Linked DNA regions of Daphnia pulex. The protein of the gene in region 5 purifies or fractionates together with the protein of the main gene of each other region. This does not show direct contact. Links are inferred from orthologs where the notes say so. Each region holds a gene or a part of one and is shown on either strand. Other genes may lie near its edges.

The links.
Region 1: the proteins of COP9 signalosome complex subunit 3-like (region 5) and cullin-2-like purify together in Homo sapiens (affinity purification with mass spectrometry; 5 studies listed by BioGRID and IntAct, counting the BioPlex papers as one, with this or other methods). This does not show direct contact. The link is inferred for Daphnia pulex from reciprocal best matches to the Homo sapiens genes COPS3 and CUL2.
Region 2: the proteins of COP9 signalosome complex subunit 3-like (region 5) and DDB1- and CUL4-associated factor 11-like purify together in Homo sapiens (affinity purification with mass spectrometry; 3 studies listed by BioGRID and IntAct, counting the BioPlex papers as one, with this or other methods). This does not show direct contact. The link is inferred for Daphnia pulex from reciprocal best matches to the Homo sapiens genes COPS3 and DCAF11.
Region 3: the proteins of COP9 signalosome complex subunit 3-like (region 5) and DDB1- and CUL4-associated factor 1-like purify together in Homo sapiens (affinity purification with mass spectrometry; 5 studies listed by BioGRID, with this or other methods). This does not show direct contact. The link is inferred for Daphnia pulex from reciprocal best matches to the Homo sapiens genes COPS3 and DCAF1.
Region 4: the proteins of COP9 signalosome complex subunit 3-like (region 5) and DNA damage-binding protein 2-like purify together in Homo sapiens (affinity purification with mass spectrometry; 7 studies listed by BioGRID and IntAct, with this or other methods). This does not show direct contact. The link is inferred for Daphnia pulex from reciprocal best matches to the Homo sapiens genes COPS3 and DDB2.
Region 6: the proteins of COP9 signalosome complex subunit 3-like (region 5) and cullin-5-like purify together in Homo sapiens (affinity purification with mass spectrometry; 3 studies listed by BioGRID and IntAct, with this or other methods). This does not show direct contact. The link is inferred for Daphnia pulex from reciprocal best matches to the Homo sapiens genes COPS3 and CUL5.

What each region holds. Positions count from the first base shown.
Region 1 is NC_060021.1:10,405,022-10,410,154, reverse strand, and holds the start of cullin-2-like, read left to right. Parts: upstream 1-1,999; 5' UTR 2,000-2,362; coding exon 2,363-2,682; intron 2,683-2,745; coding exon 2,746-2,855; intron 2,856-2,914; coding exon 2,915-3,155; intron 3,156-3,213; coding exon 3,214-3,460; intron 3,461-3,521; coding exon 3,522-4,655; intron 4,656-4,744; coding exon 4,745-4,939; 3' UTR 4,940-5,133. Other genes in the region: solute carrier family 25 member 46-like, read right to left, coding at 6-366, 431-549, 644-780, 843-988, 1,075-1,131, 1,267-1,445, 1,503-1,612, 1,684-1,831.
Region 2 is NC_060025.1:8,379,457-8,384,317, forward strand, and holds DDB1- and CUL4-associated factor 11-like, read left to right. Parts: upstream 1-1,567; 5' UTR 1,568-1,675; intron 1,676-1,730; 5' UTR 1,731-1,733; coding exon 1,734-2,057; intron 2,058-2,120; coding exon 2,121-2,382; intron 2,383-2,447; coding exon 2,448-2,594; intron 2,595-2,660; coding exon 2,661-2,842; intron 2,843-2,905; coding exon 2,906-3,144; intron 3,145-3,210; coding exon 3,211-3,314; intron 3,315-3,377; coding exon 3,378-3,533; intron 3,534-3,600; coding exon 3,601-3,707; intron 3,708-3,771; coding exon 3,772-4,053; 3' UTR 4,054-4,494; downstream 4,495-4,861. Other genes in the region: glutamate [NMDA] receptor subunit 1-like, read left to right, coding at 2-219, 283-405, 465-616, 696-930; dnaJ homolog subfamily C member 25 homolog, read right to left, coding at 4,656-4,861. UniProt on the Homo sapiens protein: May function as a substrate receptor for CUL4-DDB1 E3 ubiquitin-protein ligase complex.
Region 3 is NC_060022.1:4,446,764-4,451,618, reverse strand, and holds the start of DDB1- and CUL4-associated factor 1-like, read right to left. Parts: upstream 3,074-4,855; 5' UTR 2,945-3,073; intron 2,768-2,944; 5' UTR 2,759-2,767; coding exon 2,646-2,758; intron 2,581-2,645; coding exon 2,433-2,580; intron 2,358-2,432; coding exon 1,679-2,357; intron 1,606-1,678; coding exon 677-1,605; intron 615-676; coding exon 366-614; intron 304-365; coding exon 82-303; intron 21-81; coding exon 1-20. Other genes in the region: mRNA export factor GLE1-like, read left to right, coding at 3,476-3,683, 3,774-3,937, 4,001-4,216, 4,277-4,627, 4,724-4,855. UniProt on the Homo sapiens protein: Acts both as a substrate recognition component of E3 ubiquitin-protein ligase complexes and as an atypical serine/threonine-protein kinase, playing key roles in various processes such as cell cycle, telomerase regulation and histone modification.
Region 4 is NC_060018.1:5,111,337-5,116,204, reverse strand, and holds DNA damage-binding protein 2-like, read left to right. Parts: upstream 1-1,638; 5' UTR 1,639-1,768; coding exon 1,769-1,824; intron 1,825-1,887; coding exon 1,888-2,149; intron 2,150-2,228; coding exon 2,229-2,420; intron 2,421-2,474; coding exon 2,475-2,626; intron 2,627-2,701; coding exon 2,702-2,857; intron 2,858-2,926; coding exon 2,927-3,061; intron 3,062-3,136; coding exon 3,137-3,269; intron 3,270-3,340; coding exon 3,341-3,739; 3' UTR 3,740-3,924; downstream 3,925-4,868. Other genes in the region: large subunit GTPase 1 homolog, read left to right, coding at 35-171, 251-353; RNA polymerase II subunit A C-terminal domain phosphatase SSU72-like, read right to left, coding at 433-534, 603-718, 790-929, 998-1,141, 1,264-1,340.
Region 5 is NC_060018.1:6,888,149-6,892,779, reverse strand, and holds COP9 signalosome complex subunit 3-like, read right to left. Parts: upstream 2,893-4,631; 5' UTR 2,788-2,892; coding exon 2,733-2,787; intron 2,655-2,732; coding exon 2,382-2,654; intron 2,322-2,381; coding exon 2,104-2,321; intron 2,038-2,103; coding exon 1,843-2,037; intron 1,774-1,842; coding exon 1,462-1,773; intron 1,398-1,461; coding exon 1,284-1,397; intron 1,217-1,283; coding exon 1,037-1,216; 3' UTR 919-1,036; downstream 1-918. Other genes in the region: evolutionarily conserved signaling intermediate in Toll pathway, mitochondrial-like, read left to right, coding at 3,292-3,742, 3,805-4,257, 4,333-4,426, 4,498-4,628. UniProt on the Homo sapiens protein: Component of the COP9 signalosome complex (CSN), a complex involved in various cellular and developmental processes.
Region 6 is NC_060021.1:667,537-672,497, forward strand, and holds the start of cullin-5-like, read right to left. Parts: upstream 3,267-4,961; 5' UTR 3,133-3,266; coding exon 3,112-3,132; intron 2,942-3,111; coding exon 2,732-2,941; intron 2,649-2,731; coding exon 2,460-2,648; intron 2,393-2,459; coding exon 2,251-2,392; intron 2,190-2,250; coding exon 1,975-2,189; intron 1,909-1,974; coding exon 1,815-1,908; intron 1,736-1,814; coding exon 1,605-1,735; intron 1,540-1,604; coding exon 1,372-1,539; intron 1,278-1,371; coding exon 1,128-1,277; intron 1,034-1,127; coding exon 909-1,033; intron 850-908; coding exon 719-849; intron 655-718; coding exon 482-654; intron 342-481; coding exon 180-341; intron 92-179; coding exon 1-91. UniProt on the Homo sapiens protein: Core component of multiple cullin-5-RING E3 ubiquitin-protein ligase complexes (ECS complexes, also named CRL5 complexes), which mediate the ubiquitination and subsequent proteasomal degradation of target proteins.

The DNA.
Region 1 (5,133 bases), on a different chromosome or scaffold from region 5:
TATCACTAATTAAATTGTTGATGCAGCGGATAGCCTCTTGGAAGCTCGGGCGAAGCTTTCGGACTTCTGTCTTGACGATCGGATAAGACAGTTTGATTTCTCGGTGAAACAGGCTGGATGCCAGCGTTTGGCTTAAATAAGTCTCCCATATGGTAAAAGGTGAATAATGAGCCTTTAATTATGCTAAGCTGGAGAGCGTATTGCAAAACTAACGCCCCCAACCCTTTGTACAGACCCCACCTCCCTTCTTCGCGGGTAATTGTATTCCAGCAGTCGAAAAAGCCATCATAACGTGTTAGAATTGGTATAACAGATGCACCGGTGTCCAAATTATCGATAATAGTACGTGTTCCTTGAATATGCAGCCTGTTGAAAATTCAGAAGGCGTTTAAGTTTATTATTTAAATTCAAAAAATGAAAATAATCGTACCTATGGAGAACTGTCTCGAAGGGAAAGAGTAATACGTCCGCCACTAACGACCCAGCAAATCTTGAAGACAAGTCAAGATCGTTTGCTTCGACGAAACTCACTTCTTTAGAAAGGGCACCCTGAAATCAAGTGAATATTAATTATTTCAATATAGAAAATTCCGAGCGTATTGAAAATATCAGAGTTAAATCAACAGTTACTACAAAAACCTACCTGTTTACGCTGGCTTCGTTTTTTAGCTGAGGTCATTCCCCAGCGAGTCAATCCCGCTGAAAGCACTGAGACGATGTAATGAACCGTCCCACATAAAACAGCAGGGCACAAAATAATCCATATTGGTAACAATCGACCTAAAAATATTTTAAATGATGCAATAGAGAATCCTAGTAAATATTTTGGAAAAATGTTTTACCTGTTTGGGGGGCAGACCAGCTTAAGAACCTATAAATCCCTTCTTGAAAAACATCAAAGATACCCGGCTTTTCACTTGCAATATCAGATTGAACAGTTTCTACAACACTTGCTGCATAAAATGGGATCACGACAGCTAGGGAAACGCTAGGGAACCAAAAAATAGATTTAAAAATTCTTTAGATATCTGCTAATAATTGTCGTATGACAATTTCAATGTGTTTTTGTGATACCTTTTCAAGAGGATGTGGTGTCCAATTGCTTTCAATGAGCTGTTACGATCAATTTCTCTAAAAAAAAAAGAAAAAAAAAACAAAAACAAGTGAATATTCTGTCAGTCTAAATATAAACACACACTGGCTATTTCAATGAACACAAGAGGACAGCTTACATGGCAACATTTGCCACTTTATATGCTAAATTACTTTGGCCATGGTGTTATCTTGCTCAGTACATCCTCAATGGCTAATGTGAGACCTCTCACAATTAAAGCACTGCCAATTCCTTTCCATAACACAGTCATGCTTTGTCTTTGGTGTAGCCTAATGACTACTGGGACCAAGCTGAAAGGTAGTGTATGGTATTTTCTAGAAAATACATTAACCTACAGATAAGCAGTATTAAAAAATTTACTATCAAATTAACGTAAAGAATTTTTCACCTGACACTGTCTTCGCAGAACTAAAAATGGATGGCATAGTAGATTTTCAGCTGCTAGTCTCATAATACCAAAACTGGGATTTGGGATTCTACTTGCATCAATCATATCATCTTACAAGAAAATAAAAATTATGTAAAGTCATTGCAAAAAAATGTGTGATGATAAAAGTCACTGTTAATACCATATCTATATTTCGGCGACGTAATAGCTTTGTTTTCATGTTGTATCCTACCATCAGTTACTGCAGAAGCAGCAGAATCAGCTTTTTTTATCCAAAAGGGAGAATTTTCTAAACTGTAATAGAACGAGTAGTCCTCAGTTCCAGCCATACTAACCTGTACACTTGATTTGATATTAATGTTTATGAATTCCAAGTAAAAAAAAAACAAACTATTTTCGTATTATGGTTAACTTTTTCTTTCGTGATACGCAGCAGACGAATAACTACTAATAATGAGCTGCCATCTGATGATAAACTAAACAACTTTTCCGTTTCTTCGCGAAGGCCAAAGGGGCCAGAGCAGACGAACCCACACTGCGCAATCGTTTTATTAATCTTCAGAATCCTTGTTCTGTGAAACCAATTGTATTCTTATTTAACCCCAGGGTCTTAAGATTCTCGAGTAAATTGATTATTCAAGGAATCTGAAACTTTGTCCTTCATTTACGATACGAAAAACAAGTAAATAACTTAAGGTCTTTTCATTGCTATTGCCAGTAGTCATTGCATGATCGTTTGTACGAAGATCAGTTTTGGTTTTCTCCCGTTGAACTTGGAAATAGGGACTCTGGCTTTTTTTGTAAAATTCCTATGATCCACTTTTTGGACTTTGATTCAGCTGTTCTAATAACTGCACAAAATGTCTCTTAAACCGAAGCGTGTAGACTTTACCACAACTTGGGCTGATTTAAAGGAAACAGTTAAAGGTGTTGTAACTCTGGGAAATGTTCCTCATACTATATGGTACAATCGATTCAGTGATGTGTATTCCCTCTGCGTGGCTTACCCAGAACCTTTAGCTGAGAAATTGTACCAAGAAACTAAAAAGTTTTTGGAGGAGCATGTTAAATCTCTTTTCATCCAAGTGAACGGCACCAGTGAAGAACAGCTTCTGACTGTGTATTACACACTTTGGCAGCAATATAGCCAAGGAATGGACTATTTGCACAAACTTTACTCGTAATTTATTCATTTCTTTTCTCTAATAAAACAAGTTAATACATGCTTTTAATTCAAATACAGATACCTTAATACCCAACACATCAAGAAACAAAAAGCATCTGATGCCGAGCTTCTTTATGGGACATTGTCTTATGAATCACCTGAACAAATGAAAGAAATCGGAGAATTGGGTAATCACTATTTGTAATTTTTTTGGTGTACTGAATCCTTATCGAAACTTGCTTGCTAGGTTTGGATTTGTGGAAGAAGTATATGATAGAGCCATTGAAAGCCGACTTGCTGAGATTACTTTTGGGAGGCATACATTGTGACCGAACTGGACAATCTTTGTATAATGAAAAGTCATCAACAATTCAGGGTGTGATTCAGTCGTTTGTTTCAGTCGAGGAATACAAGAAGAAGAACACCCTCGAACTTTATGAGGCTGTTTTTGAAGGGCCATTTCTTGAAGCGACCGGTGAATACTACAAGTAAGAAATAATTAAAATGTTAAAAATTTGCATATTACAGTTGTTTGGTCAAATTTAGGCAAGAAGCTAGTCGCTTGTTACAGGAATGCACAATTTCCTTGTATATGGAAAAAGTTTTGCAACGTCGGGACGAAGAAGATTTACGTAGTCGGAAATTCCTGCACCCAAGCTCTTACAGTAAAGTTCGAACTGAATGCGAAAAACGAATGGTAGCAGATCACTTGGCGGCTATCCACAACGAGTGCCCGACAATGGTTCAACAAGAACTCCAACAAGATCTTCGAAATGCGTACGCGTTGTTGAAGGTGAGAGCTTATCTTATTGCCTCGTAGTATAAATTTTAATTGTTTTCTAAAATTTGTTCAGTCGATTCCGGGAGGTTTGACTGTTCTGGTGTCGCACGTCATGGAACACATCAAACAACAAGGATTGCGAACAGTGACTAACCTGTCAGGAGACAACATTGCTGCCCAGTTTGTAGAGGGCATGCTTAGTGTCCACTCCAAGTACAAGGAGATCACCAACACTGTTTTCAGTAATGATCAGCTATTTAGCAGCGCTCTAGATATGGCCTGTGCTGCAGTCGTCAACCATCGCTTCAATACTAAACAAAATTGTAGGTCTCCAGAACTACTTGCCAAGTATTGTGATACTCTCTTGAAGAAGTCAACAAAAGGCGGTAGTGACACCGAAGTTGACGATAAGTTAACACAGTGCATTACTGTATTCAAGTACATCGACGACAAGGATGTTTATCAAGCTTTTTACTCACGGAAGTTGGCACATCGATTGATTTCACAACAGAGTCAAAGTATGGACGCTGAAGAGGCAATGATCAACCGATTGAAACAGGCATGCGGATATGAGTTTACCAACAAACTTCATCGAATGTTCACGGACATGTCCGTCTCATCAGACCTGAACAACAAGTTTAATCTGCTGAACAAAGATCGGATGATTGAATTAGGTCTCAACTTCTCCATCTATGTCTTGCAAACCGGTGCGTGGCCTAGACAAGTCTGCCCTACCGATTTCGCCGTACCCCAAGAGTTGGAAAAATCGGTCCAAGAATTTGAAGATTTCTATCGTCTACAGTTTAACGGCCGGAAGCTTGCATGGCTACATCACTTGAGTTACGGAGAGCTGAAACTGAACTACTTGAAAAAGCGTTACTTCATCACCATGGGAACCTTCCAAATGGCAATGCTTCTTGTCTTTCAAAAGACCAATTCCGTGACTTGTGGAGAACTCATGGAAGCCACGAAGCTTAACTCGGATCAATTCCAAAAGGTCCTTCAGAGCTTAGTCGACTCAAAGCTTTTGGCAGTAACTAGTGACACTGTCGAAGTTTTCCAACCATCTACAGTCATTTCCCTCAATATGGATTATAGTAACAAACGAACCAAGTTTCGTATTAACAACACTATCCAAAAGGAGACTGTCCAAGAAACCGAGACGACGCATTCTTCTGTAAACGAAGACAGGAAAATGTACCTTCAGGTAAGAATTATACGAATATTTTAGCGTAATGCGTTAGAAATCCGAAAACAAACTAAAGTTTTTTTTTTTTTTTCATTTGGCTTTCCAAGGCTACAATCGTTCGAATCATGAAATCTAGGAAGATTCTTCGCCACATGGTCTTAATTCAGGAGGTGTTGAGCCAGTCCCAACCCCGATTTGCTCCTCCCATTTGCATGATAAAAAAGTGCATTGAGACATTGATTGACAAGCAGTACCTGGAGCGTACCCCTAATTCAACGGACGAATATAGCTATGTGGCATAGAAAATGCAATCTCAACGTTAGTTCGCAATATCATGCTGTAATACTTTGGCGTGAATTTTTGAAATTGTTGAAAAGAAAACCGCGTCGAGATGGTAAGGGATTGTTGGGCCTTTGGGGTATTTCTCATATTGTACATGAATAATTTTTCCATTTGATATTTTTCATCGGTTTTTCCTTGCTGTGTGAACTTAGAA
Region 2 (4,861 bases), on a different chromosome or scaffold from region 5:
GGGGGTAGAGAAGCATTTAATCGCTTCTCATTTCGGGTCCTGACTGGAGTTTGGGTTTTGTGCGCTATGGTTTTGGTCAATTGTTACACTGGAATCGTCACATCTTCACTCACAACGCCAAAGATGAAACCGACCATAAACTCATTTGAAGACTTGGCCGCAAGCGAAGAAGTTGGTATAGTTCTGCGAAGTGATACGACGATCGGAAATCAGATCCTGGTGAGGTCATTTCTCCTTTATTTTCTAAATCAAATCCTCATAAGCTGTTCCTGGATTCACTAGAAGGCGACATCCGGTATTTATAAGGTTCTTGGGGATGAAGCCCGACGTAATCCTAATCAAATAGTTGACAATCCTTTCAAGTTGACCGCAACACTGGAAACTGGACGCTACGCTTATCCTTATGTAAGTGTATAAAGACAGAGATTAACATGATCAATTTTTGAACTTTTCTGTTTCATTAGCTGCACTCTTTATGCTATGCCTTTGTCTGTTCTCAATATGAGAAAGACGGGATGTGTCGCTTTAAATTATCGAAACTTTTGCCCGTTTCCATTGGATTTACGTCTTTGTTTTTTAAAAAAGGAAGTTTGTTTACTAAAGATATGGACAAAGGGTATGTAACCATTTTAAACACCCTAAATTTTTACATCTTGATTTTTTATTTATTTATTTCAATCCTAATATATTTACAGACTTATGGAACTGTGGGAGAGTGGACTTGTCCGTTTATGGATTAATAATATTCATTCTACTCCCAAGGCGAAACAGTGTTTTGCCGATACGAAACGTGGAGTCACCCGCGTAGTCCCCATTCAACTGTCGGACTTAATTAGCGCTTTCTTTATCCTTGCTATCGGTATTGGATTGGCGACGCTGAGTTTCTTACTGGAAATAATCCTATCAACATTACGTCGAGAGAGGCTTTAGTTAATTTAAGCATTTATTGCAGCAGGTATGTGCTGCACTACATCAATAGGGCACGTTGTGTAGTTTCTAATAATAGTCTTTTCGTCTAATAATATCCTCTTTTATATATTTATATATACGTCTTAAACAACCTTTACCGAATTTTAATCCGTTTTTACTTCTCCTCCTGGGGCATGCGAACGTTTTTAGCTTAGTCTTGTAACTCCTGATACGAATTAACTAACTAGCAGTTGATTTGCTAGAATACACATTTGTTTAAAAGTTTGATTGTCTCAAGAAATTTTATTGGTTGCTACAGTGACTAAAAGAGGCAAATTTAATGCTGCCCAACGGTAGGTCGGTAGGTAATGAGGAAAGACAGGATAAAGTTTATTACACGTGAAGCTCAAGTTATCGTCGTAATTCAGTAATTGTAATGGAAATAATTTTGAAATCGTAATAAAAGGCCTAGCTTCTAAGATATGACAACGAAAATCACTTGATTGCAATCCTGAAAAATTTGGTTGGTATGAATTTGGTTCATGCGTTGGTTTTTATCAGAGAAAAAGAAAATGAGGAAGAAAAGGCTCAATTTCAAATTTTGGCGGTAATTTTTTCTCAAAGGTTTAGAATTTCAACACTAGATGTCGTTTGCGTAAAGCTTTTTATCAAACATTTGCTGTCGTCTGCCTAGTTGCGTGACATTTTTTATCGGGTTAACTAACTTTGTTATTGAATAAACGGTGAGACAACAATCTACCTTCAAGTAAGAAGCCGAATCACAGCACGTTATACGTTTACTGATTTAATTGTCCCAACAGAAAATGAACTCTGACGATGAAGACAGAGACAGCAGTAACAGAGATACTTCATCGATGTCGGACGAAGATTCTGATACCGACATAGCCACAGTTCTTACCCAGCTCATCAGGAGGTTAGTTAGTTATCCCTTCATGATAGTAGAGTGGCTTGCAGATCATCTTAATATTCAACAATTCTTTCCCTTTCTGGGAAACCACAGTGGCCGAGCTCACATTCTTTCAGAAAGAAACTCAGTATTTGAAGAAAGAAACGAGTCTTTCTTTGATTTCCTTCCAAATGCCCAACCACCCCCTGTTGACAGCACACCTGATTTAACTGTTCTTGAGGTAAAATGAGTTTGTTTAGACATAACAAGAAGGTACCTCTTTTTAATACCAGTTTTTCTCTAGGGGACTGATTTGTACTTATCAACATCTCTATCATCAGGAATCTACAAGCACGGTTGCAAATCCCATTCCACTCGTGTGACATCACTACTGTACCAGCGTCAAGTAGGGATGAAGGGTACAGGGCATTTTTCTGGTGGAGACAGGAGCTATATTGGCCACAACTATTTGCCTAACAAATTCAAACAAGTTGCCAACTGCAATCACAAAATGTTTTGCGGGACATATTCTAAAGATGGCAATATTTTCCTCAGCGCTTCACAAGGTATTACAATTGACTTTGTGTTGCGCAAGAAAAGATTTAATCTTTGCTTTTCTTCAAATTCATAGATCGAGTTATCCGTGTGTTTGACACATCAAAAGGCGGATTTGATTGCATAAGGAAAATCCCCGCCCGAGATGTCGGATGGAGTATTCTAGACACAGCGTTCAGTCCTGATGGACGTTCCATCATTTATTCTAGTTGGTCGGAAGCCAGTAAGTACCTTGAAACATAATTCGACTTAGTAAAAATGTTGTTAATGCGTTTGGTTCCATTTTCAGTCCACCTTTGTAACATTTACGATGAGGTGGAAAGACATGAAGTTCTCCCACTTTCCCCGGAACTCCGACGGTTTTGTATTTTCAGCCTTACTTTTTCTCAAGACGGAAATGAAGTATTGGGTGGTGCCAATGACGGCTGTTTGTACATTTACGATTGCGAAAAACGACAGAGAACGCTCAGGGTAAAATTACTATTTTGTTTCGTACCCACCAACAGTCCTTAATTAACCTCCCATCTTGTTTAGATTGATGCCCACGAAGAGGACGTGAATACTGTGGCCTATGCTGACGAAACTTCGCAGATCCTATTTTCTGGAGCGGATGATGGATTATGCAAAGTTTGGGATCGTCGAACGTTGGCGGAAAACGGAGAGGCTAAACCGGTGGGCATTCTTGGTGGCCATGTTGACGGACTTACGTTCGTCGACTCGCGTGGAGATGGCAGACATTTGATTACAAATAGCAAGGACCAATCCATCAAGCTGTAATCTCAATACTTGTTTTATCTATCGTAAAAAAAAAAACATTTAAAAAATGTGCGATTAATTAGATGGGACATGCGCAAATTCTCAGGAAACGAAGTTCAACAAAAGACTAGAATGCTTATGAACGCCCAAAGTTGGGATTATAGTTTCCAAAACGTTCCGTGGAGGCGTAAGTTAACTTTTTGTTATTGTTTATGTTTAAAATCTCAACTGAATTATTATTCTTTGGCAGTGGCTTCTCCCAAAAACAAGATCGCCGGTGATACTAGTTTGATGACATACCGCGGACACAGTGTCTTAAGAACTTTAATCCGATGCCGTTTCAGTCCAGCATTTAGCACTGGGCAACGATATATTTACAGTGGTTGTGCAGCTGGAAAAATTTTCAGTGAGACCCCAATAACCTAGTATTATCAATCTAAACCAATTTAATTTTTAAATATTTGCAATTTTAGTTTATGATGTCCTGACTGGAAAGCCTGCAGCGATTCTGACTGGTCATTCTGAATGTGTTCGGGACGTCTCTTGGCATCCATACTCCATGGATATTATCGATTCAGCGGTATGAAATATTATTTCTAATTTTTCTCTATGAATTCCCAAAGTTTAATCAACCGGGGTAATAGTGGGACGGCCGACACTTCAAGTGGTTCCATTCCTCAGCCGATTCCGAGGACGAAATGGATTTGGACACGGAAGAGTACATTACCGACAGCGAATCCAACGATTCCAATCCTAATTGGATGCAGAGGCAGCGCCGCTCATATCGAGATGACGACGCGGCTGATGGCGGAGGTGATCGCGAAGTGCGTAGGAGTCCACGACTGGCCGCTCGAGCAACTCCACAGACGGCCCGGAGAACGTCACAGAGGCAGCGACAAGCAGCCAGCCGCCGCCCTCTTTCATAAGTCTTGTCCGCACCATATATCCTTTAATACAACACACTTGTTTCGAAACACTTCATAACTACAAAAAAAAAACGCAACGCAGTCATTTGTTTCAATTCTGTGTACAGTTATTGGTGTTACCTTTAACTGAAGCAGGCGTGGTGCGCTCAATTCACGCGCTTCTATCGATACGTTAACCTTCCCTCTTTTATTTTACTTTTTTGTGATAGATGATCAACTTCCTCCCGGGTACGATGCATCTAGTTGTGCTGGATAATTTGATGCGTGTGAAACTCTCAAGTAAATGAGAGTGGAAATTTCCAAGAACAATTCTTCTTGTTATTTGTATAATTATTTTTTTTTTTTCATTTTTTTCTCCTGGGTCTTTTATATGTTTATAAAAAAAGGTCTACGTGTACTACTTTTGGGAAGACGGAAATACAGGGCTAAATTCTACGCCAATACGGATTTCTACTCAGCAGAGATTTACAATAACTGCAATTTGATATTTTTGTATTTCGTCAAACAAGGGCGTGAAAAGACTCACTGTCATATGAGATTGGTAAATCACAACACGGGATGAACTTGGATGATGAAGCCACCTAATTTGTCAAATATCTTGATTATGAATCGTCAAAGGTGAGTCGGCTCGTTCCTTTCTTCATGTAACGTCTGTACGCTTTGTGGCGAGCAGATTGAGAGAGTTCTCGTTTCAGATCTTCTTCCTTCTCTGCCTTCCAATCGACTGCATTCGACTTAATCCAAAGTTCCAGTTCGAGATATTCTTCTCGGGTATGGTCCTCAAGAGCATCGAATTCGAGCTGAGAAA
Region 3 (4,855 bases), on a different chromosome or scaffold from region 5:
ACTGGTTCTCTCATGAGAACCTGAGACAGAATTTGGGTTGATATTAATTTACAAAATAAGAAATTATTTTTTATGATTTACCTGCAATTGACCGCTGGTGAACAAGGGTAGTTTACCCATGATTTGGCGAGCATTTTCGCTGCGTGCAAGACCTAACAAGGCCTTACAGGCTAAAGCGCGAATCGAGTCAGCATCCGTAATGGGTGTTTTAACAGATAGAAGGTCCATTAACACCATGATTCCATTGTGGGATCGTACACACTCCCAAACTTGGTTGAGAACCTCTTCGCTCGTTCGACTAGCCTATACAAAGCACAATGCGTAAATACATAAATTCTACAATAAGAAAATATCATTGAAATTACCACGCTGCGTCTTTTGGCACTGCCATTAAATCTACCGACAGAACCTCCAACTCGATGGACGGGAGCACAAACGCAGTGAATGAGTACGCAAAGAGCGGCACGCTGAACTTCGGGGTCAGCTACAATGTCTCCTTCAGCTGCTCCAAGTAGAATATTAATGCCTACAGCATTGGCGTCATCCGGAATTTGAATACGATCACAAAATAGCATCTGAACTCTGAAAGAAACAGAACAAACGGCTAAAACATCCTGCAAAATAAAATAAAATATATTTAATAATTTAACTTTAAGAATATATTTAATTTCTTTACCAAAGCGCTGCGAACAGTCTCGGCACGTCCGGTAAAATTCCATAGGTAGGATATTGCAATAACTTGTAGAAGCAGAGGGATACCCCCGAGGCTAACAAATTCATTGACGGGTGACCAACTTGCCCGAAACGGAAGCAGTTCTTGAGCAGTGGTGATTAGATCGATAATTTGATCTGCATTAAGCTTGATTGCTTTGTAGGGAGGTGTTGACGGATGGGGAGAACCACCCATTTCACGAACTCTGATCCGTTGAAGATGTTCAACTTTCCCAGCCAGATGAATTTCAAAGTATCGTTTTAGCGCCGCACAGACGTGTCGAACGGTTTGGCGTGCAGCATGAGATTCGTCATCATCCAACAAATCACTTGCATCTTCCATTGAAAGTATTGACAAAGTGCTGATCATATTGTACAACCGGCGAAGACCATCCTGGGCGTCAAACTGTTCCAAAATAATGCGGAACTGAAACGATGTCCCAAAGAACATGGTAGCGTGACAACGTCCAGATTCGTGCGAACACTCCAGTAGCCAAAGAGCATATCGGACTAGCTCTTGAATGACGTGATCTGGTAAGAGACAGACTCGCTCCATGGCATCTTCGCAATACGCAATGTAATAAAGACACATGGCAACTCCAGTTGCAGCAATGCTCGGCCGTGGAATTTCAAGTAAGCGATGCAATCCCTGATGATGAATAAACTCGATGGCAAATTTTTTGTGACAAAGCAGTGCTCCGAGATATTTAAGTGCTTCGAACGATAAACGCGAATCTTGGGTCTCGTCAAAGTCGATGTAGTTAAGAATAAGGTCGAGCGCCTTTTGCTCGAACATGTGAACTAGTAACTCTTGATATTCACCCATGGGTGTTAAATATCGCAAGATTAAGATTTGCCGAGTTGAGTCCGTCAATGGATGCATTTGATACGTTCCTATAAATAAAGTAAGAAGTGTTAGTTTTTTAACTTTACAGACACACTTGTTGCATGGAGAATAATCTTTTACCGATGACGTATGATTCCATTTCGGCCCAAGACGAGTTGCTAGAATCATTCATAGCTGATCCATTCAGAGATGCATTTCCACTTTTTCTCTCTTTGGAACCTTTAATCCTGCCTTGAAATTTCTTTGCTTTGTTATTCTTTGGCAATTTTCCTTTATCGGAGGCTCCATCGGCCGGTTCTGGTCCAGGCATTAATTCAGCATCTTCATCCTTTGGGACCTTTGAACTGGAAGATGCTCGACTCTTACTACTCGCCGTATTCTTTGGGGTTTTGCTCGAGGTACTCGGTTGGTCGCTTGAAAATTTTGAAAATCTTTTGATTTTTCCGAGTTCGTCATTTTTCTTTTCTTCGGCACATCTCTTTTGGATTTCCCATAACCTTTTCAACATTAACGGTGCTAGATGAGCGTTTAACTCACGAAAGTTAGCAGCCAAGTCTTGTAGTTCCATCGCAGCAGCTAGCAAACCAGTAGCGTAGCTTTGAAGTGGTTCTGGACCTTTTTCTGCCCAACTAAAAAGTCTGTTGATCAATCCTTCTGTGTCTTGAAACACCACAGATACTTCTAAGCCTGGCATTAAATCTAGAACAAGACGAGCTGCAGCTGTATTGAGTTCCCTTGAATCTCTGGTAGAAATGCCTAATCTGGTCCAGTAAGTGTCACGTAAATAGTCTCCAACTAACTAATATTAAGAAAAATGAAAAAATAGCATTTATATTTAGAATGAAGATCAAGGCCAAGTAAATGAAAATAATACTTTTTGCATAAAAATTTCCTTCTTGAATATTATTTTAAGCATGTGTCCAAAGCTGCAATTTGGATTCCTAGAAGGGTTACGATCATCAAAAGGATCTGGATCCATTTTTAGGTAATTTTCTGTTTCTGTTTCCAAAAGTTCAGCCAGTCTTGAAAACAAAAATTAACATGATTAAGAAAAAAAAAATCTTGCAAAAAAACAAATAACACATACCTAGAAAGATAGGGAACAGGATCAAATGTTGGTGCTACATGATGTTCCTCAAATAACCTCAAAATAGCACTGACATCTGACATTTCAGTCAGATTTACGGTGTCGTTCGCCATACTGGATGACTTAAATGTAAATAAGAACAAATTAGCTGAAACTTATCGACGCCAAAATGAAACACAAAAGGACGTTTTTGGAACCCAATCACAATTTCACAACACGAGTAGAATAACTTCAATGGGTCACAAATCTTCACCATAAGTTAAAAAAAAACTATTGCATTATAAACAACAAAAACTCACCTTCGAACTGTTACGTCTATCTGAAACTACAACTTCCCTTATTAAAATTAAGTTTCTTTGAAATTGCTGCAGAAGTGTGCACCACGTTCTGTGTAATTTCTATGTGCAGACTTGAGAAAAAAACGTTGTCAGATTAATATTTTGGAAAATTCTTGCGAATTCCATTGTTTGCTTGTTTGAGGAAGTTAGACCTCCAGAATACAGATTTAAATGATAAAATTATAGCTAAAATATTTTTAAAATTTCTAGCAAATTTTCATATTACAAATTGAATGATATTTCTCACAATTGGATTTTTCAATAAACTTGACAACAATAGCTTTTCTTATGGTTACCTAGCGTGCTTAAAAAACTGTGTCTGCTTTTGTCGTCCTTTTTGTGAATCTTTGTGGACGTTTTTTTTTTACGATTGTTATGTGACATTTTCTTCAAATATTTTGTGGTTTGAACTTTGAAAGTTACTCACATTCTTGTCGTAAGTGTTGACACGTGTCGGATCAAAACGTCGGGCATAAGAGGAATAAAGTAAAAATGGCTGATGTTTTGGATATCTTGGAGCTAGGGAGACCGGGAACTCCAGAAGTGACGAAAGAAAGTATTATGGGAACGCAAAAACCGAAACCTAAATACAAACCTAAAAATGAAGTTTTACGTAAACCTGAGGGAATGGCACGAGAACTTTTCAATCTTTTGGTCAATGATAGTAAAGATGCAGCTCCTCTATTTCCAACTGACACAGGTAACAACTTTGTCTGTCTGCAATTTGTGTGCTTCCAGTAAGGGAAAGAAATATTTGTATGCCAAAGATTTCATAAATATTTCCAATCAGGTAAAGGATACAAGCAAGCAAAAGCTCATTTAGGTGTCCGTAAAGTGAGACCTTGGAAGTGGATGCCCTTTACTAACCCAGCACGGAAAGATGGAGCTGTATTTCACCATTGGCGTAGAGCTGCAGATGAAGGGAAAGAGTATCCATTTGCTAAATTTAACAAGGTTGATTTCCATCTTTTTTAATTGATTTGAAAATTTCTTTTATATAAAAATATTTTTTTTTAGCAAGTCCATATATTTTCTTACACTGATCAAGAATATCAATTACTACAACTTGATAATTGGACAAAGCAAGAAACAGATCATTTGTTTGACCTCTGTCGGCAATTTGATCTTCGTTTCACCGTTATTCAGGACCGCTGGGATAGTACACGATTCTCAAAAAGGTCAATCGAAGACTTGAAGGAGAGATATTATGATATCTGCAACATATTAAACAAGGTAAAGGATATTTGTGTCTGTGTTACCTAGTAAAAAAATAACTGTATATTTTTTTTTAAGGCAAGGCATACAACAGGACCAGAGCCAAAGAATATTGCTTACGATGCCGACAATGAAAAACGTCGTAAAGAGCAGTTAAAGAGGCTATTCGAACGTACGTCAGAACAAGTCGAGGAAGAAGCTAATCTACTCCAAGAATTGAGGAAAATCGAAGCCCGCAAGAAAGATCGAGAACGAAAAACACAAGATCTCCAGAAATTGATAACAGCTGCGGACAGCGGAGGTTCAGCTACTGCTGCTGCGGCAGACCATTCCCCTGCAACCCATCGAGGCACACCTCCCGACAAAAAACAACAAATTCGAAAGAAAAATACCCCATTTGCTACACCTAAAGCAAAACTTGAGCTCCTGGTAACCAAGCTTTATTTATTTATTTATTTTTTTATAATAGTTTTTCTTTGTTTAACTCATTAAATGATGAAATTTTTCATGAAATTTAATGAGCAGCCCTCCGTGGAGACACCTAATAGCGGAATTAAGTTTCCGGAGTTTAAAGCCAGTGGTGTATTTTTACGCTCACAGCGGATGAAGTTGCCGCCTAGTGTGGGCCAGAAAAAATCCAAAGCTATAGAACAAATG
Region 4 (4,868 bases), about 1.8 Mb from region 5:
ATATTTTATTTATTTTTTTGAAATTTGTCAATAGACCAACTACAATAATGCTCAGTCAATTGACCAAGCATTTTTCAGCCAGTCTTTGTCAACTGCACACAGTAAAGGCCGCGCATCTACTCCAGGTGAAACTCATACTAAAGGAGTTGCTGCGAATTCCAATTTTCCAGGGTAAATAATTGTTTTACCTCAGTTAAATTAAAGAAATTATAATAATAATAAGTATGAAATGTCTTTCTTTTTTTTTTAGATCTTGTACCACTTTGAATGAAAGTGATAAACCTTGGAAAAAACATAACAAGAAACATAAACGAGAAAAGCTTCGTAGAGTATACGCTCATTTGGATCAGTGAGCCTGTGTATCAAATACTGGAAATACAATTTGATGGTCATACTTCGTTTTTCTTTATATGGTAATATATGAGATGTGTATCAATAGAACAGAAGACAATGTAGTATTGGTCGTTGACATTTTGCTTCAAAATCTTGCAACATTTCATCAATATCATTATCAAGGTCATCACTGTTGGCCATCTAAATAACCAATTTAAAACACTTTAAAATAGCCATTAAAATAAAAAAAAGTTGCTCAATATTATTACCATGGACACCAATTCACACATGAGAAATGCACCTATTGTTGCCTCTTCATGGTTGTCTTGAATTTCAATGTTTACCACATGAACAGGAGTAGTCTGACTGTCTCTGCCTTCCAAGCCTTTTTTTAAATAAAATAGATGAACTGATTATATCTGAATTCTGAAATAACAACAAATTTCTCATTATTACTTTCAATCACTTGATCATAAACTCGTTCTTCACATGTAAGAATAAGATTAAATTGTTCTGTAGTCGACTGAAACCTCTCTGGGTGGGGTTTAATTCTCCTGTTTCTGTCTAACATATGAAGAAGTCCATTTCTAGTATACCTACAATAAAAATGTGTAATTGTAATGTGGATTCCTTCAAGTTTATTTGCATTTGAAGTTAACTGTACAATTCTCTATCCTTCTGCAAGAGATCTTGATAGATGTCATCATAAGGTGTCCCAAATTCATATACATTGGGTCTGTCAGGGGCTGCACCTGGTAATTTCACTTTGTCTCCAGTTCCAAATGATTGCACTCGATATCCTTTCTTGCTAAGGAAGTAATATAATAAACATTTGTTTAAGGTTATTGCGTGACAGATAACAGAATACTTCAGTTTAGAAAAGAACAACAACGATGCATAGCTTTCCGAAATAGTTAACATACAAAATACCTCAAAAAATTATGTGCTTCCATGCTGCGATTCATGTTACTTGAACAAATAACAGCTAATTTTAATGGCTGCGGCATTTTCTTTTTTATTTATAAATTGTTTAACACGACCGAAATGAATGATTCAATAAAATCAAGCAGACGAAACACCATCAACACTAATTACTCCCGCTAGGTTTCATTCCCAGTAATCTTAAAGTTATAAATGGATGGAATGTATCAGTTGATAGGCTTGAACCAAAAATTTTGTGTTAAAAAACATAGTTTGATTAGATTTAATTTATCAAAAGCTTAACAAATTCCACTTCTAATCAAACAATTATAGTAACATTTAAATCCGCTTGGGTGGGCATTTTTGTTTTTTTTGGTAGCAGACGTCTTTTATTTCCACATGGATCAGTATGAACCGGGTAGAAGTGTAGAACGTTGAATTGTTGAAATACTTTTCAAATATATTGGATGCAAACTTGAAACTTCCTAGCAAATGACTGATTTGTAAGGTCTATATGCAAATGGCACCACAAAATAAGAAAAAGAGTTCTTCAGCTCCCAAAAGGAAAAGGTTAATTAGAAAATATTTATTTTTGATACTTTAGGCAATATCGTTTGTTTTATGATTTGATAGAGATTTCTGTTCAGATCAATCGGATGACGATTTTGAAAAGACCTTAGTGCCCAAAAGATGTAGCAAATCTGTTTTACCGAAACCTGAAGCTAAAATAAGGGAGTCGGCTAAAATAAAAAAACAAACAAAATCAGATATTGCAAGTTGTTCAGTTGGTGATTTGGAAACCGCAATTAATGTAAAACCTCTCTCCAGAAAAAATTTCTTGTCATACATTACAAAAAGACAAACTGGCCAACCAATTTCAAGATGCTTTGAAAAGGTAGTATTACTCTACAATTGATTTATCAAGAATTCAACATATATATATATTTCTCAACAAACTGCTACATCATTTTCAGACCCTGAAGTTTCATGTTATGCAAAGTGTGCAACATTTGAAAGTTTTTAAGACTGCATCTCCTTTTGACCGTAGAATTACTTCCTTAGTATGGCACCCAAAGTCACTCACCACTCTTGCAGTTGGTTCCAAAGGAGGAGATATCATTCTGTGGAATCATCAGCATGAATCTCATGATGTCTTCATACAAGGAGTATTTTTCATAAAACTTAATCAAATAACATAAGATTTTATATTTATATAAAAGTTAGGGGCAGGGGGATCAATACAAGCAATGAAATTTGATTATAATGAAGATAATCACCTCTACACCTGCTCAATTGATGGAACATTCTGTAGGAGGAACTTAAGAAGTAACCAAGTTACTGTTTACTTAAACACCGGAGAAGACTGCTTCAAGTAAAACTTTTTGTTATTTAAGAAACATAATCTGGGGGTTTAGGCTTAGTACCTAATAATACCTAATATTTGTAGTAATTGGTACACCTCTTTTGATGTATCCTTCACTGGGGGACTTCTGCTTGCTGGAGATAATAAAGGATATGTAAATTTGCTTACCAAAGACGGGACTCCTATATGGAAACAACGTTTACATAAATCAAAAGTGCACCACATTGAATTCCACTCTGGGTAAGTTTAAATTGTTGGTCAACAAAACTGAATGAATTTACTTTCTTTTTTATTATTATTACCATTAAGAACGCCTTGGCTATTTGTCACATCGTCCGGCGATAATTTCGTTCGCTTGTGGGATGTGAGAAATATAAAGAATACCGAAAGCGCGCTTGTAGAACTTAAGCATGAAAAGGGAGGCGTAAATTCTGCGTATTTTAGGTACTTTTTTTTATGGAAATGATTTTTGCAAATGGCATTTTATTGAAATTCTATTTATCTTTTCGTAACTACTAGCCCAGCACACGGAACAAGGCTCTTGATTACAGATCAACACAGCGAACTGAAAATTTTTTCTGGCCCACTTTGGAATTTGGAAACAAAAATTCTCCATCCTCACCGACATTTTCAACACATTTCGCCTATTAAAGTTTGATTTTAAAATTTATAATATTTAAAATAATTTATCCTTTATGCTCTTTCGCTATATTGGATCGACAGGCAGATTGGCACCCATTAGAAGACATTATTGTAGTTGGACGATATCCAGACCCCAAGTTCACGGGCTCACAAGGAATGGATACATTTAATCCAGGAAGTGAACCCCGCACTGTGGATTTTTTCGACGCATCTGACGGGGAGCTGATTTGCCAGCTTGAGCCAGTTGGACAGAAAGGGATCATGTGCTTAAATCGGTTTGATCAATTGGGTAACATATTAGCATCTGCACATGGGGCGCATATTCTTTTATGGGCACCAAAATACTCGGAGACAAACATTCCTTCTACTAGTGATATTTGCCAAAGTGTTCAGGCACCAATGCGTCGTCCTCTTACAATGGATAATGATAATGATTTAAAGAAGAAAAAAAGAAACACTTCATCTCGAAAACAAAAATAGTTGAATATTACTAAAAATAAATAGAGAAGAACCTGCAATCTTTGTTGTAGGATACCGCTTCCTTAACTGTTCAAAACTATTTGTTTCTTTGTTTGTGTTACCTAAAATTAAAACTGAAAACAAATCAAAAATAGGAATTACCTGAATAGTTTCTGCGAAGTGCGAATACATCGGTTTCATAAAAATTGGCATTTCGGTTCTCGATCGTAGTTACTCGTTATTAGTAATTTGAGATCAGGAATAATGACATTATTGTAAACATTAGATTTGAGATGTGCACCTTAAAAGAATTTGGATCGATCGATCAAGAAAGAAGATCGACCATTGGTTAAAATGGTAAAATGGGATGGATAGATGGGATGGGGCCTTTATTTTTCTGAATGTTTTACTCAAGCAGTAGGTAGCAATTAACTTTAGTTTAGTGCATTAATGTTGGAATGTTTATTGTAATATTTTCTCTAGATTCAACATGCCAAAGTTAGTTGGAAACCTAACTCAAACTTAGATAACCGTTGCTGCTGCCTTACAGCCACTGGCAGGAAAATTATTCTTTTTTTTTAGAAAAAAAATGGAGTGGTGGAGTTCTATTGTCACGTAGTGGAGTGGACATTAGAACTCCACTACACGACAATAGAACTCCAATAATTTTTAAAATTTGAGTTTTATTGCCGACAGTAGAACTCCACTAGTACCACTACGCGACAATAGAACTCCAATATTTTTAAAATTGGAGTTCTACTGTCGGGCATTGGAGTTCTATTGCCGGGTATTTGTAATCCGCCGCAGTTGTAAATGTGAATCATAGATGGCGATGAAACTTGTATTTTAGTCTGCTAAAAAAGAGTCAAATAAAATGTCTGCAATCGTCAACCTACGTGTTTTCCGTAATTTCAGCAGGTGTCAACTAGACCCATTTCTAATTATCCCACATCATTTCGTCAAAATGAAGAAATTCAAAAAGTGGATGGTAACTTTCATCTTTTTAAAATGGCGCTTAGTATCATTAGATTATGTACACGTGGATGGCATGTGCTGTAACCTGCTTTCTGTTTAAATTTATTAGGAGATGACGAATTCAGTTCGCTGGATCTGAGTCCCAACAAGTCGTTGAATATATGAGATTATACGG
Region 5 (4,631 bases):
CTGGGCTGGAATCCTGCAAGCTAATTGTTTCCTCATGTGTGTATTTCTATCCCTTTTTATTTTGTCTTTCCCTTTTTTAGTTTCTTCAAGATGCTTCTCCCCTCCGCCGACGACGAACGGAATGCGGAAGGAAACGGCAACGTTGTCGAGTCTCTCCCCTCCCTCCCCTCAACACCTTGTATATATCTGTTGTTGAACAACTGCCGTTGCATAAATACGGCGCTCTTAAAATATCGTTCTTTCATTATCTTCTGCTGGGTATTGTAGGCTTCCCTTTCCGTCATAAACTGGTTTGTGTGCACCTTATGCGGACTTTCTCGAAGCGCAGAGAAAGAGAGAGCAGGCTCACACAGCCTCCTTTTTGTATTTTTCCCGTCTGCATTTTTACCGGTCACCAATGTGGGACAGACAAAGTTCATTGGAATGCGCACATCTTTTCTCTTTTAATGTCCTTCCTTTATTTACAACCTTTCTCCTACTTATTCGTCTACTAGGCCACTTAGCAGACACACATCTCCGCCTGCCTCCAAACAGTTTGGCGTTTTTCGTTTTTAATCTTATCACATCAATGCGCGCGCGCCCTCTATCTCTTGGTGGTAGACACTCCTCGAAGTTGGGGCTCTCCATTCATCCGCCGTTGGACCAAGCAAACAGTATCCAGTCGGCTTCGGCCATGTGTGGGTGTGTTGCTCTACCGACAGTGTGAATTTTCGGCTTTTAAACCTCGAGACTAGTTTTCTCAGTGATCTGCCAGATATTGTTTGAATTTCTGAGATCATTGTGAAAGCTGATTTTGTGGATGGCCTCGACTAGATGCATAGACAGACTGTCTGACTTTGGAATTTATGTGTGTTGGAAATCGTGTACAGTTTTATGTGTGATGTTTATCAATACAATTTTTGAAAAAAAAAAACTAAATTTTTGTTTTTAATCCGTGTATGAATCCTCACTTAGTTATTTAACAAAAAAATGTGAAAGTAATTATTTTATCGAGACGTTATGGATTAGTTGGTGTTTTAAAGAGCATCATAGGTGATCACATGGAGAAGGAGGGAACTTTGGTTGCCGCACCGGCCTGAAGGGCTGACGAAGCTGAACTCCTCCCTCCATCGTCCTCTTCCATGGCACCTGACGCCTTCTTCACGAAAACCGGGTTCGTGCAGATGGCTTCCTCCATCTTCTGCACCTGCATGTCCAGCTCGATGCAAATGTTGACCTACCCAAACGAGTAGCCATGAGGTCAATTATCTGGTACACATTTCTGCCGGCTACTATCGAAATACCTCTTTCTGAACGCGCTCAACAGTTGAAGTGCTGTCGTATTTGTCCGGATTGTCGTGAAACAATACCATCCCGTCTTTCTGGCTAATGCTGGCGTAAATATCCCCATCTTCAATCTTTTGAAGAAGAAAACAAACACATAGTTTGATCGTCATCTTTTAGCATCTTGAAAGCAAATACCATGGTCAAGACGAGTTTTTCCGCTTCCATCACGCTGGGCAACTGAACTCGCAGGGCCATATCGCTGAGCGAAAGCGTCAGAAAAGTCTGAGTCAGTCGCTGAATAATCTTCTTGTAGAGCGATTGTTGTACTTGTTTGGCCAGACCCCAGTTATTTTCACGCTGTAACAATTCTCGGTGCTTTTGGAGGACAAGTTCCAGTGACGTCGGCTTGTTGGTAGCAAATACCGTCGTGATTTCGTGGTAGATGGCGCTCATGGGTTTCAGGAGCCGATTAACCACTTGAGATGTGTATTTGGGAAGAGGTGCCACCTAGTCTCGTTTCAAATGACAATGTGAATCGGAAATTGAACGAACATTGCGCGACTATTTGATCCATACCTTTCCATGAAGAATGAGTGAGACGAGAATGTACTTTTTGTACGATTCCAGCATGATGTGAGATACGGCTGAAGATGGTGTCGTCAAAGCTACTTCGAATGAATACAGGGCTCGCTCAAAGTTTTTGACAGCCATGTTGATAACTCCCCCATAGTAGTAGTAGAGCAAGAAATGCTTGGCATCAAAATATCCATTCTACAAACACATTTGTCATTAGAATTTTCTGTAATCAGTGCACTAGAACCTGAAAAAGCAATTTACCTCTGAATTGATTTCAGAAATCTCAACATTCAAAAACTCCAAGGCAGGTTTTAAATTCTGTGCCATCAAACAGAGTTGGAGAAGGCTAGCGTGGATAGACGTCAGCTGTGTTTCATTCATTCTGGCTTTCCGAATAGCTTTGGTAAGGGGAACAATACCCCTGGCAGGTGTCTCTCGTTCCACTAGGCATTGGGTAAACTGGTTACACAGCTCAGCGACTGCACAGAACAATTTATTATGAATTATTCAATTGTAAGAGTGCAATATTAGAAGCTTACATGAGTCAGGAGCACAGCGAATTTGTTCACCATTGCAAACTGTGATGAACTGACTGACTTGACTGATGAGCACTTCGGGTTCTGGAACTTGAATTCCTTGATTTTGAGCTGCATTTTGGTTGAGAATCATGAACTTTACCATGTAAATTGCCAAAACACCTAGACTGTGAAGTTGTGGGTCAAGAGTATCCAGAACAGTGTCTAAATGTTCGGAATTCCTCATGAGTACGTCGGGCGACTTGCCGAGAAAATCATATAGTTCTCGCCAGCTTCCTATCAGTTTGATACATAGAAAATTGAATATTTTTAGTGTCCACAAATTATGAAATACAACTGTCGTTCAAAACAAACCTTCGCCAGAGAGATTACGAACAGAATTTACAAAATGTTCTAGGGATGACGCCATATTCAAATTTGAAGAATATTAGATTGAAAGATATTGAATTGAAGAGAGAAATATTTGGATGAGCCAGCAAACGTCGTCTGCAGTTGTCTTTATTCGTTGATAAACGCGCCAATAGAGGGTATATTCGTAGATGCAAGTAGCACCACTGGCGGGTGGCGGCAGGATCACACAAACACTTTTACTGAATAATTTAAAAACAAAATGAACATAATTATAAGCGAAATAACCGCGATTTAATTTTATTCTAATTTGATGATGAATAATCGAAAGTAATCAAGTTTTTAATCAAATAAGAAACTTTTTTTATGAATCCCTGCCATCTATCATCAATGAAGTTGAAATTTTAGCAGACGTTAAAAGTTGAAAGAGGAAAAAAACAATAACAAATCCCATTTTCGCCTACTCTTGAATTTGTTGTGACAATTCTATGTATTTCTGGTATTTTTACAAATAGTTCGAATTTTGTTGATTATTTTCCTGCTTTGAATAGCCATTAGTATTATAATGGCAGTAAAATTTGGTTTAAGTTTGAATCGAATTCTCCAAAGAGCCTTACCTCAAGTTCATAATTGCAAGCTACTGCCATGCTTACAGATCCGTCACATTCATATAAATAGTCTTCATTTTAAAAATAAAGAACCCAACGAACTGATTGTTAGACCTTCTATGTTTTATGTTCCAGAAGGAGATAGAAATAAAGACACATTCTTAGAAGCTGTAAAAATTTACACAACAAGACCAGGGCCCCGTAGGGCACAAGTGGAATTCATCTATGCTGCTCTGAAGGAAATGGAAGAATTTGGTGTGCATCGTGACCTGGAAGCATATAAAGACATCATTGATATATTACCAAAGGGAAAATATATTCCAACAAATATGTTTCAAGCAGAATTTATGCATTATCCAAAACAACAGCAATGTATAATAGATGTTCTGGAACAGATGGAAAACAATGGTTAGAATATCTTTGCCTCAAATCAGTTTAAATTATTTTATGTGTTTTTATTTCATTTTTAGGTGTTTGTCCAGATAAAGAAACTGACCAAATGGTTCTTAATATTTTTGGTCGCCATGGAGCTCCCACCAAAAAACTTAGAAGGATGGCTTATTGGATGCCTAAGTTTAAAAACCAATCTCCATGGGCACTCCCCCAAAAGATTCCTAACTCAAATCTTGAAATAGCAAAACTTGCTGTCCAGAGAATGGGTAGTGTTGATCCAGCTACAGAGATGAACATTTTTCAGACTAGTGAGTTGCAAGACGCCATTGACGATACTTGGATCGTCAATGGTCAAAGCGCCAATCAAAGAGACCTTTTAGCCAAACTCAAAGAAAAGCAAACCGTCTACGTTGAAGGCGCTTTCACAATTTGGTTAAGAAGAACCAGTATAAATTACTTTATTTTGCGTTCTGAACCTGTTCCGTTAACGGAAGAAGAGCAGAAACAGCAGAATGAATATGATTATGATGGTATGTGTACTGAAACAGTTTAGTTTCAATTTTCTTCATTCTAGTTTTCTAATTTTATTCTTCGATTTGTTCAAGATGTAAGTGAACTGCGTTCGTGGATGTTTGGGGAAGAAAATCTTACTCGGAAAGATATCGTTGTTCAACCTTCAGTTCATGAACAAGAAGATGGGTAAACAAATATTAATCTTCATCAAATGTGTTGATTATGAGATAAATACTTTTTTTTTAAATTTTTTCAAGGACAATCCTTGCTATAGCTATCACTGGGACATGCTCAAAAGATTCCCTTCTTTCTTGGATCCGATTTTTAGAGAAAACAAATCCAAACCTAGCTAATTTGAGTATCCTGTTTGCTACTAACTCCCCCTTAGGTA
Region 6 (4,961 bases), on a different chromosome or scaffold from region 5:
AAATAGAGTTTTCAGTGAAATCTCTTGCGGATTGGACTTCCGGTTGGCATATTAACAACTGTCGTTTCAGTTTTGGAAAAGCCACCAAAGACTGAAAAACCATGTCATTCCATAAAATCAAATGTGAATAATTATTCCAATTCTAAACATTTGTAAACAATTTTAAAACATTTGTATACCCCAAGAGTTCGTCGAAGTTCCGCATCAGGCAACTCAGTTGCTAAACGCAAGTTTTCAAGAGAAATTTTTTCTTTCGGTCGTTCGTTCCACGCAAATAGGACAGCCATTTGAAATGTTGTAACATCCAGATCAAATCTTCCAACTGAATTGGCAAACTGAATCTAAAATGAAATACAAGGTTTAGAATCGGCTGCACTCGGTATTAAGTAACGATAATCACATATTCGGTGATTGATTATTTCTTCCAAAGATCTGGATGTGAAGAATTTTAAATAATTTATAAATTATAAGGAAGACTCACAGTTCCATTTGACATATGATGATGCCACTGAAGTTTTCGTCCACTATGCTTTTTCCTGTAGAAATCTTCCACTTCTGGTATGTAGTCTTCTAACTCCAACGGCAACGACACTGTCACTCGGTCAGATCCACGAGCCCAAGCTCCAGCATTCAGGATTTTAATGTTAATCGAGTCTGGTAATCGTTTAAAAAAATTAATCTTTATGTTAACTTATGCGCCCTTTCTATGAGGTATTACCAGCAATGCTTCCTTTGGTCTTCCTATATTCCTCTTTGAATTGTTGATTCAAGTCTTCGCTGATCTTGATATCTTGGAACATACGGGCAAGCTTGTGAACATAGTCGGCTGGCATGCCAACTTCTCTCAACCTTTTTCATGAAAATAATTGTAAAAAATGCAAAATGAACGTAAAAATTAGTTAGTGTACCATTCAACCATGTTTTCTTCTTTTTCGCTGTCAGCTGAGGTGTCCAAGATCAATCTTCTAGTTAAATGCGCTTTGTGGAACCGCATGAACACATCTTTGTTTTGAACGTATTTCAGAACAAGTAGCTAAATGGCAACAAATGAAGCATATGAATAATTATTTAATCAAACGAAAACATTACTATGCTAGCGTGACAACACCAACTTTTTTTTATCTTACCACATCCTTTAGTTTGCTTTCAATTTCATCGGAAGTGAGTTTTTTGCTTAAAGGTGTCTTACGCAGAAGCATGTCACAGAAATTAGCTAGCAGCTCTGGGCAACGAGATTCAGGTTGGGTTTTGACTCCTCCACTGGAGCCAGGTCCTTGCTGAAAACACAATTTTAATTTTAAAGTGTTAGTTTAATGTCAACGGAAAAATTTTTTTGGCATAAAGCAAAGGTAAACAGAAACAGGAAATTACCAATCGAGTGGGTAAATCTAATCGAAAGACTGAAGTATCATTCACAACATGTTTATAAGCTTTATCACGAGCAGTAAGGAACCGCGGGTCATCGTCGAAAGCTTCCTTAACCAAGAGGCTAAACTGATTGAACAGTGTCAAAAGTCGTTCCACATATTTTTCAGAATCCTACCAATAGCATTAAAAAATTATGAATGAGTCATGAAGACATTAACACTAGTCTATCAATGTACTTGAGTAATTAATTCAGCTGCCACCATCATATCCGCCAATCCTGCGTGAATAATGTGATCTTCTAAATATTTTAGCATAGGTGCAATTCCATCGGAGACTCGATCCATCAACCGGAACATCATACGCAATTCTGTGATTAAAAATTTAAATGTTACTCAAACTCCACCTACGACACTGTAAATTTTCAATATTAAATGTGGTAAACATACTTTGAGTTTCGTCTTGCTTAATCATAGAAGAACATTCAGCTAGAATGGTTTCCTTGAAGGCTGTCACCAAGACATTTACGCAACATCCGTTAAGCTTGAAAGAAAGATTTAAAAAAATTATAACCAAATCTTAAAATAAGTAATAAAAAGCCATTAGTACAGTAGCAATGGAACACGATTCTAGATATTTATTGGCTCGCTGCTCCTCTTCGCGTAGTTTCGATTCTGCGTATCTCATGTAATTCTGAACACCATTGATTTCCAAATATTGAGGAGCTTTCAACTTGTAAAAAGCTTCGGTGGAATCTATATAAGCCCTCTCAAAGTTATCCATATAAATGGTCAACTTATCTTCAGAATTTGAACAAAGGTTAACTGCAGGAAGTAAGTAAATATTAAGCAGTTGAAACAATATCTTGCCATAGAAATGTTTTACCATAGGACTCTCTCACTCCAATGACCAACTGTGAGTCAAAGGCTTCTCCATTTCTTTCAGCATGGACTAATTTCATTGCTGAGTCTTGTAATCGGTTTTTAATGTTGGAGAAAATACTAAAGTTCCAGGAATCCAACATTAGCTAAAACACAGAAACAAAATATTTATCAAAAAACAAGTTATTCATTAAAAATGTATTTATTGTTTACCTTTCTGACTAGACTGTCATCAGTGTTTTGCTGGGGCTTTTTCTGTATTGAGTTGTGTGTTTTACCTTGAAGTGCAGTTTCAAGCTGGAAGAAAGGCATGGGCAAATATGAGCACTGGGTAAAAAATTTACGCCATTCACTGATGTAAGCCCTCAACAGTGACTGGTCTTCTTCATGAGTTAGTACTCTCTGATATAAACAAAGAGGATTAATAGATGCATCTCAATTATTTTAATCATTTACACCGATTGCAACAGGAATATGTAACTTACTGTCTGTGCTTGCTTGATGAATTCCAGAATATCATCCTGCAATGCCTTGTACATTTTGGCATGTGATTTTTCATCCCACAAACACACCATGTGTACAGACCAAAACAGTTCATGCCATTCAGCTCGACTAACAGGCTCTTGACGTAACAGTTTCAAAATTGTTGGTCTCATAAGAGGCCATTGTTCTTCAAATACCAATTGTCCTTTATCCTTAAAAGTAAGAAAACATATTTTAATTGGTTAATGTTGATGCGATATATTTCGATCGACGAATTTGTTGATGAGGTTATGAATCATGACACTACTTGCAAGTGCATAATCTAAAGACTTGATATTTCTTTCTCATAACAAATAAAAACATTTACTAGTTCTTTATTTACCTTCCACATTGATGCTGCCATTTCTATTTCTTGATGGTCTAGCCGTTTTTCAGTGCTCCTGTTCTTAACATCGGCTCACACACACACTCTACCAGTAGGCTGTCGAAGTTAACCGGTTAATCGGAATACCGGACTGAAGCCCCGTCTTGCCACGACATCTGCCATGACCTTTTTGAATTTTGATTTTTTAACGAGCGCCAATGAGCGCATAGAAACGGGCTTGGATTTATTGCTTTGTTTGATTCTTCATCTATTTGTGTGGTAACGACCACTGACTAGTGAATCAAGAACATAAGCGACACAAGTATTTAAAACTAATTAGTAAAAATTTTGTCGCTGACTTTTTATTATGTCTCGTAGTTAAAGATTTCGAATTTATATTAATTTCGTTGAGATCTGAGTCTTATCTATCATCTATCCGGATGGATCGAGGAATTTATCTGTGGCTAAAATGTGTCTCTCATATTTATCCAACATTTAGTAAGTACTCTTGCAACCAGTAGATGGTGGGCAGCTCATCATGGCTGTTGCGTCAATGCTACATTAATATGTTATGGCTACTATCCCAGTTCCCAGGCTATCCCCGTCTGTTCTTCCACTTCACGTTATTTCCTCGTTTACTCATGATAAAAGCGTACGTGAGACGCATTTGGCCAAGTATACTTGCAGGACCGGCTACAGCTTATAATTAAACTGCAACTGGTAGTGAATGTGATAATTGATGTGGCATTCAACATTATTATTATACGCACGTATCAAGGTTACTTTGATCACAAGCTGCTTTGATAGTACGCAAACAAAACAGTCAATTTCCGCACTCCCTTTCAATTGCTTGCTGCAGGCTACTCAATCTCTATAAATAGTTGTTTTTCCTCTTTCCAAGGCTTAATCTCGATATGACCTTACAAAAATGATTTCCAAAACAAAAATGTTAACATTACATATCAAAAGAAAACGCCGATGAGTACTACATCAGAAGAGTTAAATTTTTCTGCTGCTGATGTTCTTATCAAGATCCTATAAAACTACGCGGACTATTTTGTTTTCATTATTCGACAATCGCTAAAAGCAAAAATGCAAATGAGCATTGAAGATATTTTCGTCCGTATTCAAGCCTCGTTCTCCATTTTTTTTTAAAAACCTTATAAAGAAGAATTGCGTCAATCTTGTATAATGTCTGGCTTTCCAAGAGCAGTCAGAATTGCCCAGTACGAATGTAACCGCAAATTTTTGTAATCAAGAACGTACCATGTCGAATCATCCACCCGTCTCGCATGTCATAAACAAAAATTTTTGTTTTCGCTTAAATAAATCGGAATCTACTATTTGAGAAATGCATTTTTTTTAAAATCGAATTATCTCTTATTTGATTTTCCCACCCCCCGCATCAAATTTTCCAGAAAACGCTGGAACCGTGTAAAGAGAACTAGAGAAGCTTTTCCAATGTTTAGATTTCTCTTTTTCTTTTATATTCTCCTCAGAGACAGATGCCCCGGTCAGCGTCCGGCTTTTTTAATATGTGTGTGTTACGCTATGTGTTCACATAAGCCAGCAGAAGTCGCACAGAAACGGCGCTAGAGTTCGTTTCCGATTTCTATAACATTCCTACATCATCTTGTGGATATTTCTGATATATTCAAAATCGGGAAAACTCACGATCAAGAGTTAATAAATTTCAAAAATTAAACTTGGTCGAGTAAGAGTCGTGTAAACCGCTGCTTTCACTTGATATCGTGTTGTATAAATGGGGGAAAAGCTCACACGACGGAATGATTAGAAATTGCGCGGACTCTTTGTTTCTAAACAAATCGTCCCAGACTCCCGTCTTCTGTTGTCGACAGTCTCGAGGG